Xenopus tropicalis: one gene and its partners. The protein of the gene in region 3 interacts with the protein of the main gene of each other region in a pairwise test. Links are inferred from orthologs where the notes say so. Each region holds a gene or a part of one and is shown on either strand. Other genes may lie near its edges. The genes, in order: ca8, dnaaf4 and spdl1.

Region 1 (3,659 bases), on a different chromosome or scaffold from region 3:
AAGGCACATCCATACGAGCAAGGTCCTTCAGTGAAATTATAGTTGAGGCTAGACCTGAATTAAAAACTAGTATTATTCAGTAACTCAGGCTAAAATATTTGAACTTACAATAGGCAAAATAGTAGTTTATTTGAGTATACATAAGCATTTTTTAATAAAGTATTGTTTGTCTTTACATACGTGGATTGTGTGTGAATCATTTTTACCATATACAGATATAGGACCCATTATCCAGAATGATCGGGACCAAGGGTATTCCGGATAAGGGGTCTTTCTGTAATTTGGATCTCCATACCTTAAGTCTACTAAAATATCAATAAAACATTAATTAACCCCAATAGGATTGTTTTGCATCCAATAAGGATTATTTATATCTTAGTGGGATCAATTACAAGGTACTGTTTTATTACTACAGAGAAAAAGAAAATCAGTTTTAAAATTCTAAATTATTTGATTAAAATGGAGTCTATGGGAGACGGGCTTTCTGTAATTCGGAGCTTTCTGGATAACGGGTTTCCGGATAAGGGGTCCGATACCTGTACTATCATTTTTACCATATACTATCCTATATTTTACAAATTGTATTTTAATATAAATAAACCCCCAATTTAGCATATCTGTGTATTTATTTGTGCTTATTTGTTACCTGAACGGTCCCAAAGCTCTTACTGATAGGAGCTTCCCATCAGCAGAACAGTTGACTTAATCTTGTAAGTGCAGAGTCCTAAGTTTCAAGAGCCAGTGCCTTTAATTCATTAAATACAGTGTTTTTTTGTTACTGTTTCAGATAGGAAAAGAAAATATTGGCCTTAAAGCTATCACAGAGGTTCTTCAGGATATATTTTATAAAGTAAGTTCTTTTTTTTTCAAAAGGAATAATAATCCTGCAAGTGTCCCATGAAGCAGAATCATAGGAAGGAGCTAACATGGGATGCTCAGCTGAACTTGTGCAATTTATTTATAAAATAACATCAAAGTGACCTATGGTTAATATGTTATATGTGTGTTGTACATAGAATGGTATAAAGCAGGGGTCCCCAAACTTTCTTACTCGTGAGCCACAGTCAAATGTAAAAAGACTTGGAGAGCAACACAAGCATCATAAAAGTTCATGGAGGTGCCAAATAAGGGCTACGATTGGCTATTAGGGAGCCTCTATGCACACTATCAGCTTACAGGGGGCTTTATTTGGTAGTAAACCTTGTTATTCAACCAAAACTTGCCCCAAGTCAGGAATTCAAAAATAACTACCTGGTTTGGGGGCACTGAGAGCAACATCCAAGGGGTTGGTGAGTAACATGTTGCCCCTGAGCCACTGGTTGGGGATCACTGGTATAAAGTGTAAATGCTTGTGTGATATTTTCGGTTGGTTGATGCCATGTATACTTTTATTTCTTTAATTTCTTTAAGGGCATGTCATACTCATTGTAGATACCATTGGCCGATACACAATATCTCTCTGGTTGTATTAATTACCAGTCGATATTTGTAATTTCTTCTACATTTTTTTAATTCGTCCTTTTTTAAAGACTTATTTAATAAATCACTTGACATCCGTTGTCTTAGAGAAAATGATTTTATTCACTAAAAGGAGAATGTTGATAAATGGGCTTCCCCATATAATCCTTCTGTTCGATGGCTGCTTGGCAAATGAATGCCAGTGGAACACACTGATACATATGCTATGATTTTGTTTAGGGCCAAAAGTCATTTGTGCCATATTCTATATAGTGTCTACCATCTGCTGCTAAGGCCTGTAATCATTTCTAAAGTATTCAGCATTTGTTAGTGATAACTGAAAGTGTAATGAAACCATAATCAGAGGCTCTGCATTTTGTTAGGGAATATATTTCATTCAGTTGAGAGGGAAGATAAAAAAAATATTGGAAGCAGAGGGGAAACTAGTTGTTCTTGAGACACACAGGCTTGTTATTTAATAATTAATAGCACAATGTCCTTGTAACTACTAAATGCATTTACAGGGCGCACTGGAAAGAAAACAAGTGATAAATTTAACAAGGCACTATTGCCCTTCAGTACAAGGCCTGTTCAGTACATTCCGCATGTCTTCTACTTTTATTTTCAGCTTTTTCAAGTACATATACGCTGCATCTCATTTAGAAGGTAATGCATTTGGTCTTTTTTAGGGGAAATCTAAGACGATACCATGCTTTAATCCCAACACCTTATTACCAGGTATGGAAAGAAGTTTAATGCAAATATAAACAAAATAAAATTGAACTTAATGGAAAACTCTACCTCAATGTAGGTCTCTATAAAATATATTGCATAAAGCAGCTCATATGTAAAACCTTGCTATCTAAATAAAACATTTTTATGAAGTAGTAGTATGTGCCATTGGGTACGCCTAAATAGAAAATTGCCATTTTAAGTACTAAGGTCCAACCCCTGGGATCATAGGATTCACAGTGCACACAAACAAACCAAGGCACACATACATGCTAGGCTCCATCAGCCAATTAATGGACAAGGTTCTGTCTTTTGCTCCCCCACTTCCTCCTGTTACAGTTAGAGCTGCATTATTTTTGGTCAGCTGATCTCTGAGGGAGCACACAGCCCATCACTAAATGGTGGTTCAAGAGAAAAGATGTAAAAGACCAATATTTACTGATATATATCCCAGATTGGTAAAATAGGCCACTTAATATGATCTAAACAATCTGTTGGTTAAGTATTTTTTTAGTATCTAACAGTATCTCAATATTAACCACAATTCTGCTCGTAGGCTGAATGTTGAACAAGTGAAATGGGTGCTTCCATATTCCCTGATTGGACACCTTCGCTCATTGGCTGCCGACTGATGACTCTTAGGAAAACATATATAGATACTTTTATTCAGTTTCATAATTAAAATGACCATTTCATGTAACTTTAATGTTTACTTATAGTATCTTAATGAGTTGTAAAAAAACTGACCTTTTTCAGACCCCCTGCTGCGTGATTATTGGGTATATGAGGGATCTCTTACAATGCCACCATGTAGTGAAGGAGTTACCTGGATATTATTTCGATACCCTTTAACAGTTTCTCAAACACAGGTAAGTAACCATTATTATTTTTAAGAGTTTTTTCCATTTGTAAACATATTTTGAATGTTTTATATACAGGTATGGGTCCTGTTATGCAGAATGTACAGGACCTGGGATAAGAGCTTTGTCAGAATTTGGATCGCAATACTTTACATCTACTAAAAAATCATTTAAACATCAAATAAACCCAATAGGATTGTTTTGCCTCCAATAAGGATTAATTATATCTTAGTTGGGATCAAGTACAAGGTACTGTTTTATTATTACAGAGAAAAGGAAATTATTGTAAAAAATTTGAATTATTAGATTTGAATGGAGAAATATCCTTCATGTAATTTGGGGCTTCCTGGATAAACTCCAGATAACTGATCCCATATCGTACTTCTAAGTAAAGGCATTCTCAAACATATTGATTTGATCAGGACTGATGTACCCCATCTGCGACACAGATTTGCACCTGGTACAGGTATGGGATCCATTATCCGGAAACCTATTATTCAGAAAGCTCTGAATTACAGGAAAGCCATCTCCAATAGATTTTTAACAAAAAGGTCTAATTTTTAAAAAATGATTTCCTTTTTCTCTGTTATAATAAAACAGTACCTTGTA
Region 2 (3,659 bases), about 68 Mb from region 3:
TTTTACTTCAGGCAAGTTTTTACATACTACTAATTTACTAAGTAAATGTCTTTCTCTAAAAAGCCTATTTGCACATAATTAAAGAAGACAGTTAGGTGGCTTCAGGGGGCACCTATTTAGGTGTGTATTCTTTGTTTTGTTCTCTTTTAATTGCTTAGCAAAACAAGTTGGGGCCATTTTCACCCATATAAGGTAAATCTTAGGGACCTGTGACAGAAGGGCTTGTTCACTTCACTGAAGTGCAGTTTCGTAAGTAATTCACCATGCTTTTATACCCACAGTGCAGATTTTTTTCTATCATAATTCCAGCATTATAGCATCCGACACAGTGTTAAAATGTGCGCAATTCTGCTTGTGTTTTAATGCAAAATTGACACAGTTTCACTGGAAATTCTGGTTTTCTGTGAGTTTTCACACAGGAAGCAGTGGGTTCCACTGAGTCAATTTGTGCACTCCATGCATACAGATTGTTGGGGTGCATTGGTACCTGGTGGCAAAATGCACAAGGACAAGGAACACTATTGGATGCAATGAGCAATTTGAGAAATGGCTTTGTCAATTTTATGGCAACTGTGGTTGGGATTAGTAACTGAGCCCTATAGTTTTGATATTTTACTTTGCCTTTTTGGTCTTTTGAGTAGTAAGGATGGTATTTAATTAGTCTGCTTATTTTATTATTCTGTTCAGATTACTGTCATTCTAAAAATATAATATATATTTATAAATATATATTTATCATACTGTGCTAGTGGATTATGATGTTGGCACTTTATAAATAGATGTTTATTATAATATTGCTACCTACAATTGTATTAAAAAAATATAAATTTAATTTAGATTGAGGATGCAGAGAGAAAACGCATAGAGGATGTCAAACATGAGGAAAGGAAGAAAGCAACAGAGGAATTGGAGAAGTGGAAAGAAAAGGAGAGAATTCAGGAATTAAATGAAAAGATCCAGAAAAAGCAAATGAGAAGAGAGAATGAAAGCAATAAAGCAGTACACACAAGGTCTTCAGAACACTGCTCCACTGGTAATGTATGAACTATAATTATCCCAAACATTGCAAATGTGTTAGATGCAGGTTGGAATATTTGGAACATGCACCTAAAGTACTGAGGACGTAATTAAAAAAGGTGCATTTGTTGCTTTGTGTTTTCATTATTAGTAGAAAATATAGATACTGTACAGTAACAGTTATTGTGATATTTATAGAATTTATATGTTTATAGATACATTTTTATTACTCTTCTTACTAACTCTACTAACATATGTCAACCCATGATGGTTTTACATTTGTTTCCTTATGGAATTGAAAACCATAAAGGTTGAATATCACTGCAAAGCACATACAGTGGCTTGCAAAAGTATTCGGCCCCCTTGAACTTTTCCACATTTTGTCACATTACAGCCACAAACATGAATCAATTTTATTGGAATTCCACGTGAAAGACCAATACAAAGTGGTGTACACGTGAGAAGTGGAACAAAAATCATACATGATTCCAAACATTTTTTACAAATAAATAACTGCAAAGTGGGGCGTGCGTAATTATTCAGCCCCCTGAGTCAATACTTTGTAGAACCACCTTTTGCTGCAATTACAGCTGCCAGGCTTTTAGGGTATGTCTCTACCAGCTTTGCACATCTAGAGACTGAAATCCTTGCCTATTCTTCTTTGCAAAACAGCTCCAGCTCAGTCAGATTAGATGGACAGCGTTTGTGAACAGCAGATTTCAGATCTTGCCACAGATTCTCGATTGGATTTAGATCTGGACTTTGACTGGGCCATTCTAACACATGGATATGTTTTGTTTTAAACCATTCCATTGTTGCCCTGGCTTTATGTTTAGGGTCGTTGTCCTGCTGGAAGGTGAACCTCCGCCCCAGTCTCAAGTCTTTTGCAGACTCCAAGAGGTTTTCTTCCAAGATTGCCCTGTATTTGGCTCCATCCATCTTCCCATCAACTCTGACCAGCTTCCCTGTCCCTGCTGAAGAGAAGCACCCCCAGAGCATGATGCTGCCACCACCATATTTGACAGTGGGGATGGTGTGTTCAAAGTGATGTGCAGTGTTAGTTTTCCGCCACAAATAGCGTTTTGCATTTTGGTCTCATCTGACCAGAGCACCTTCTTCCACATGTTGTGTCCCCCACATGGCTTGTGGTAAACTTCAAACAGGACTTCTTATGGTTTTCTGTTAACAATGGCTTTCTTCTTGCCACTCTTCCATAAAGGCCAACTTTGTGCAGTGCACGACTAATAGTTGTCCTATGGACAGATTCCCCCACCTGAGCTGTAGATCTCTGCAGCTCGTCCAGAGTCACCATGGGCCTCTTGGCTGCATTTCTGATCAGCGCTCTCCTTGTTCAGCCTGTGAGTTTAGGTGGACGGCCTTGTCTTGGTAGGTTTACAGTTGTGCCATACTCCTTCCATTTCTGAATGATCGCTTGAACAGTGCTCCGTGGGATGTTCAAGGCTTTGGAAATCTTTTTGTAGCCTAAGCCTGCTTTAAATTTCTCAATAACTTTATCCCTGACCTGTTTGGTGTGTTCTTTGGACTTCATGGTGTTGTTGCTCCCAATATTCTCTTAGACAACCTCTGAGGCCGTCACAGAGCAGCTGTATTTGTACTGACATTAGATTACACACAGGTGCACTCTATTTAGTCATTAGCACTCATCAGGCAATGTCTATGGGCAACTGACTGCACTCAGACCAAAGGGGGCTGAATAATTATGCACACCCCACTTTGCAGTTATTTATTTGTTAAAAATGTTTGGAATCATGTATGATTTTCGTTCCACTTCTCACGTGTACACCACTTTGTATTGGTCTTTCACGTGGAATTCCAATAAAATTGATTCATGTTTGTGGCTGTAATGTGACAAAATGTGGAAAAGTTCAAGGGGGCCGAATACTTTTGCAAGCCACTGTAGTTTTGTTCTATGTTTTTAGGTGAGAAATTGTTGTCCCAGTCTATGGTGCACGTAATGTGGTAAAATTCACTTTAAACGTCATTAGTGTATATTTATTTTTTGTAACATACATTAATTGAGGCTGTACTGTAGTCACTATTACCTAGGTGTTCTATTACTTGCACCTTTATAATGTGTTTCGGGTTGTTAGAGATCCCAGGATCCAGTATAGTATCTTAACAGTCTGTGGCATGCAAGTGTCAAGTAGTAAATTTGTAGTAAATTTGTTGTAAAATTTTCCCATGTTTGGCTGCATTTTGCCCAGTGCCTAGGCTCCCTGGTTGTGATCAGCAACTAGAAGCATGCTCACTGGAAGCCACGGGCAGGGTGACCTAAGCAGGGAGAGTCTTTAAACCTCTAGCCATCTTGCCTCTGAAACATATGCACCATGATAGAGTCGCAGCATATAGTTGAAATGAAGGGCGTAACAATAACATTTGTAAACAGAATAATAAACAAGGCACTGAATAAACATAACTCCCTGATATCTTGAGTGTAATATATGTTTTAAGTTATTTTTTTTATTTTCTCTGATGATGTTGTAGTAGTATTCAGACCAACACCCATAAGAATATGTGACATTGCTTAATTTATGTTTGCCTTATTTAAAATTTCTGCACATAATTAATCTCAAAGGAATTATAAATATTGTGGCACATTTATGTTTTTCCATGGCACCTTT
Region 3 (3,659 bases):
GCAATTTACATTAATTCTTTATTTTATGTGGTTTTTGAGTTATTAGCAGTACTGGGCCTTTTTATACTGCTAGGCAGGCATGGTTCAACAGATGTTTATTAAGGATTAAATTAACCTTAAGGTTTCTGGCTCTCAGTTGAGCTAAAAGCTGTCTAAAATTAATGTAAATTGTAAGTTCTCAGAGAAGCACCCTTGCATTAGGCATGCACCAAATCCAGAATTCAGTTTTCGGCAGGATTTGGATTCCGAATCCACACTTTTTGTCATGTTAACGCGGAAGTGGAAACATTTTCGACATTTAACCCTTCCAAAACCTAATTAGCATATGCTAATTAGGATTTGGTTCGGTATTTGGCACAATCCCTTATGGGTGGATTCAGGGGCTCACCGAACCCAAAAAACTGGATTTGGTGCATCCCTAGTTTGCATCAATTCATTTTTTGTGTTTAGATCCTCTGTAACCATTTCCCAGAAGATTTTGGTGAAATTAAATTACAGTAATACTATCTGATTTCATTATTAAAAACATCTAATTTAGAATTTCTGTTATTTGCAGTAAGGAAATTGAGAAGATAAAAGATGAACTATCTTTGCAACGGATGAAAGCTCTAGCCGAGAGCCAACGGGTCTTGGAACTGGAACGGAAGCTTTTTGCAAATGATAGGCATCTCAAACTCTCACAAGGCGAAAATATGAAACTCCGTGTCAATTTGGATGAGATGAAGATGAAATATGAACCTGATGGTATAAATTATGAATCAGCTTGCATGTTATCTAGTACTAACAAATGAGTTATACGTACTTTTGCCAAATTTATTCATGCTCCCACCCACTATACTAATGATGCACATTACAACCATCTGAGCTTTAGGCAGCCATGCATAAAATGCCTGAAAATGGCAATATATATGTAGGGCTACTCCTGTTGCTATATGTTTAATTGATTCTTCCTTTCATTTAAAAGAAGCTATTCACACTTCAGTATTTTTAATACACTAATACTTGATTATGGAATTAAGCAGCCCTGTGAACCTTGTAATGCTCCAGTTGCAGGTTGTTTCTGGCCCAACCATCTTAAACTTGGTTGTAGAGACAGCAAAAATTTAGGGCAAGCTCTTTTTACAGAACAAACTGTGTAGATAAAGGCTCAGTTGGCCTCGGTGATGCTAGTGCTTTTTGTTTTTTTCAGAAATTGCCAAAATCCGGACTCAAAAACGAAGAAAAGAACAGCTTCCACTTGATTGCGCAATAGATAACACCAGTGCTACTGTGACTTCAGGCAGTCAAGCTCATGGTCTGTCTGATGCAATTCCAGAAGATATGTGCCCAGCTGAATCAACGGTTCATAGAAACCTTTTGAAAGAAGATTCATCTTTGTCTACTAAAGAGCAAGATCTGTCTTCCGTTGCAGTAAAACCAATAGAACCGGCAAATGGTCAACCTCCAAAAGAACGCAAACGAGTGAGGATTGTGGAAAATGAAAATGATAATCAAGATATAAACAAAAGAAACACAAATAACTGCTCCGTTACTTCTACCTCCCCCAGGTCAGTGTCACCTCCTATAATTGCACAAGCCATTCAAGGAAGATCTTCATCTTTTTTCTTCCGCTTTGTGAGTTGCGCTATCCGCTTCTTCCTGTTTATCTTAAGCTTTGCATGGTGTCTCTTTCCTCCATTCCGGTTACCTCGACTGAACTTTTTTAGCTCTTTTAAAAAGCCTTGAACACTACAGTTTTAAAGAACATTAAAAGCTCTTGTCTTTTTAATGTCATAACAGTTTATTATGTATGCCATTCAAAATAATTTTTCACACTACTGCTGGAATACTGTGTTAATGCAGAGCAATAATAATTAGCATAACTCACAGTACTATTTTGTTCTGGCTACACTTTGAGCGTTTTAACTTTTTGTTTTTTGTTTGTCCATTGACGTCAGAAATTGTGTGTCTGCTGTTACACATTGTATATGTAGATTAACCCACAGGAAAGTCTTGTATTTTGTATAATGTATGTCTTACGAAAACCTCTTTGTTTAGCAGTATTATTTGCATTCCAATGTAGTTGGTATTCCTGGTTGGGGCAACTTGCTTTACTCACACTTGAATTTAAATTCTTGAAGAATTATATGTAGTGAATATAACCATAAATAGGTTGGTTCACCTTAACAGTAACTATTATTATGACTTAGGAAGCAGTATCTTAACATTTTTTGCAGTTATGCTTAATTGTTTTATATTTTTGTGATGGAATTTAAATTGCTATTTAGTTGCCAGGACTATAGGCATCAGGACACAAGCTCTGCTGTAATCGGTTCAAAATGAGCCAGTTTGCAAGTCCCCATTTCTGAGCTCTAGCAGATTTGCACTATTTACATGGGTAGTTTTCCTTTTGGACAAATGTTCAAGAGCTTCGCCTTTTAAACATTGTTTTCTTGTGAAACCTTGGGGGTTGGTTTCAACACTGCTTTTAGCTTTTAAGATTAAGTTTACAAAATTAGCATTTGTTTTCAGTCGCTTACTCTTGTGCCCATTAGCTCAGAGAGAGGCTTGTCGACTTTTACATATGAGACAATTTAAGCGGTTAGGACCATGGACGCATCTTAGAAGTAAGGGATAGTTGTCCTTTATAGCGGCTCGCTACTGCACACAAACCACACAGTCTTTATGCGCTTCTCTGCCCACAGCTATGTGTTGATGCGTCTTCTGATAAGTGTTTAGCAATGTCCTTCTGACAAGCACATACTCCTCTGGGCTCTATCCAAGCATACTGCAGTGCAGGGCAGCCACTTTTGAAAGGAATAGGCTCGGTGCTTATTAGAAACACTAGAGACTGGTATGGACAAACAGAAAAAGCTGTTGCACTTAGAAATTGCTTCAGAACTAAAATTTGACTTTCATGGGGCCAGAGAAATTGCTATAGGGGAAACAGGTGGGAGTCCTGTAATGGGCCCAGACTACATTAAAGGAGAAGGTATGGTACAATAACAGGGAGGGTGGCAAAATGTTAGGAACACCGCAATCATTGTAATCGCTTACCTGATTCCATGGACCAATGCTGCTGTTGGCAGAACACTGCACCAGCCCAGGGTACATGCAAGTGTGCAATTGCCTTTTCCTTCTTATTTCTTAGCGCTGCTTGTGCATGTGTAGTAAAGTGAAAAGGCGAACGTTAACAAAAAAGCCAGCTTTTTCACTATACTGCTCGTGCATCGACCCCGGGATAGTACCCAGGCCGGTGCAGTTTTTTGCTAAAAGGAGCACCTGCCTGGGGTATCAGGTAAGTGATTACAATCGTTGGGGTGTTCCTAACATTTTGGCATTTTGCCAGATCAGTAATATGGCCTGGCCCGGGTGTATGGGGCCTCACTATTCCTCACAGCAATCTTGACCTGTTTTAATAGAATTCCTAGAGCAAATAACAGAAATAACATTCCACATGTAGACTTTCAACCTGTCCAGTTTTGACTCAAAACTGCATGCCCAGTTCCAAATAAAGAACAGGACTCCCCTTGAATGATTCGGCAGTGGATGATCTTCACATCATAGTCTCGTCCCCATGATGTCATAATTCCACCCTGGCATCACTGGCCCCGCCCATGATATCATTGCCTTCCCCCTGCTCGGAGTGCAAGCTGCTGAAAGGTGGCAACCCTATCCAT

What was found.
Region 1: the proteins of spdl1 (region 3) and ca8 interact in binary tests that used the Homo sapiens proteins (3 or more experiments, as listed by UniProt). The two-hybrid records come from large-scale screens. The link is inferred for Xenopus tropicalis from reciprocal best matches to the Homo sapiens genes SPDL1 and CA8.
Region 2: the proteins of spdl1 (region 3) and dnaaf4 interact in binary tests that used the Homo sapiens proteins (3 or more experiments, as listed by UniProt). The two-hybrid records come from large-scale screens. The link is inferred for Xenopus tropicalis from reciprocal best matches to the Homo sapiens genes SPDL1 and DNAAF4.

What each region holds. Positions count from the first base shown.
Region 1 is NC_030682.2:116,874,546-116,878,204, reverse strand, and holds part of ca8 (carbonic anhydrase-related protein), read left to right. Parts: intron 1-787; coding exon 788-850; intron 851-2,147; coding exon 2,148-2,196; intron 2,197-2,946; coding exon 2,947-3,059; intron 3,060-3,659. UniProt on the Homo sapiens protein: Does not have a carbonic anhydrase catalytic activity.
Region 2 is NC_030679.2:100,682,108-100,685,766, forward strand, and holds part of dnaaf4 (dyslexia susceptibility 1 candidate gene 1 protein), read left to right. Parts: intron 1-837; coding exon 838-1,033; intron 1,034-3,659.
Region 3 is NC_030679.2:32,862,606-32,866,264, reverse strand, and holds part of spdl1 (protein Spindly), read left to right. Parts: intron 1-556; coding exon 557-744; intron 745-1,189; coding exon 1,190-1,547; intron 1,548-3,659. UniProt on the Homo sapiens protein: Required for the localization of dynein and dynactin to the mitotic kintochore.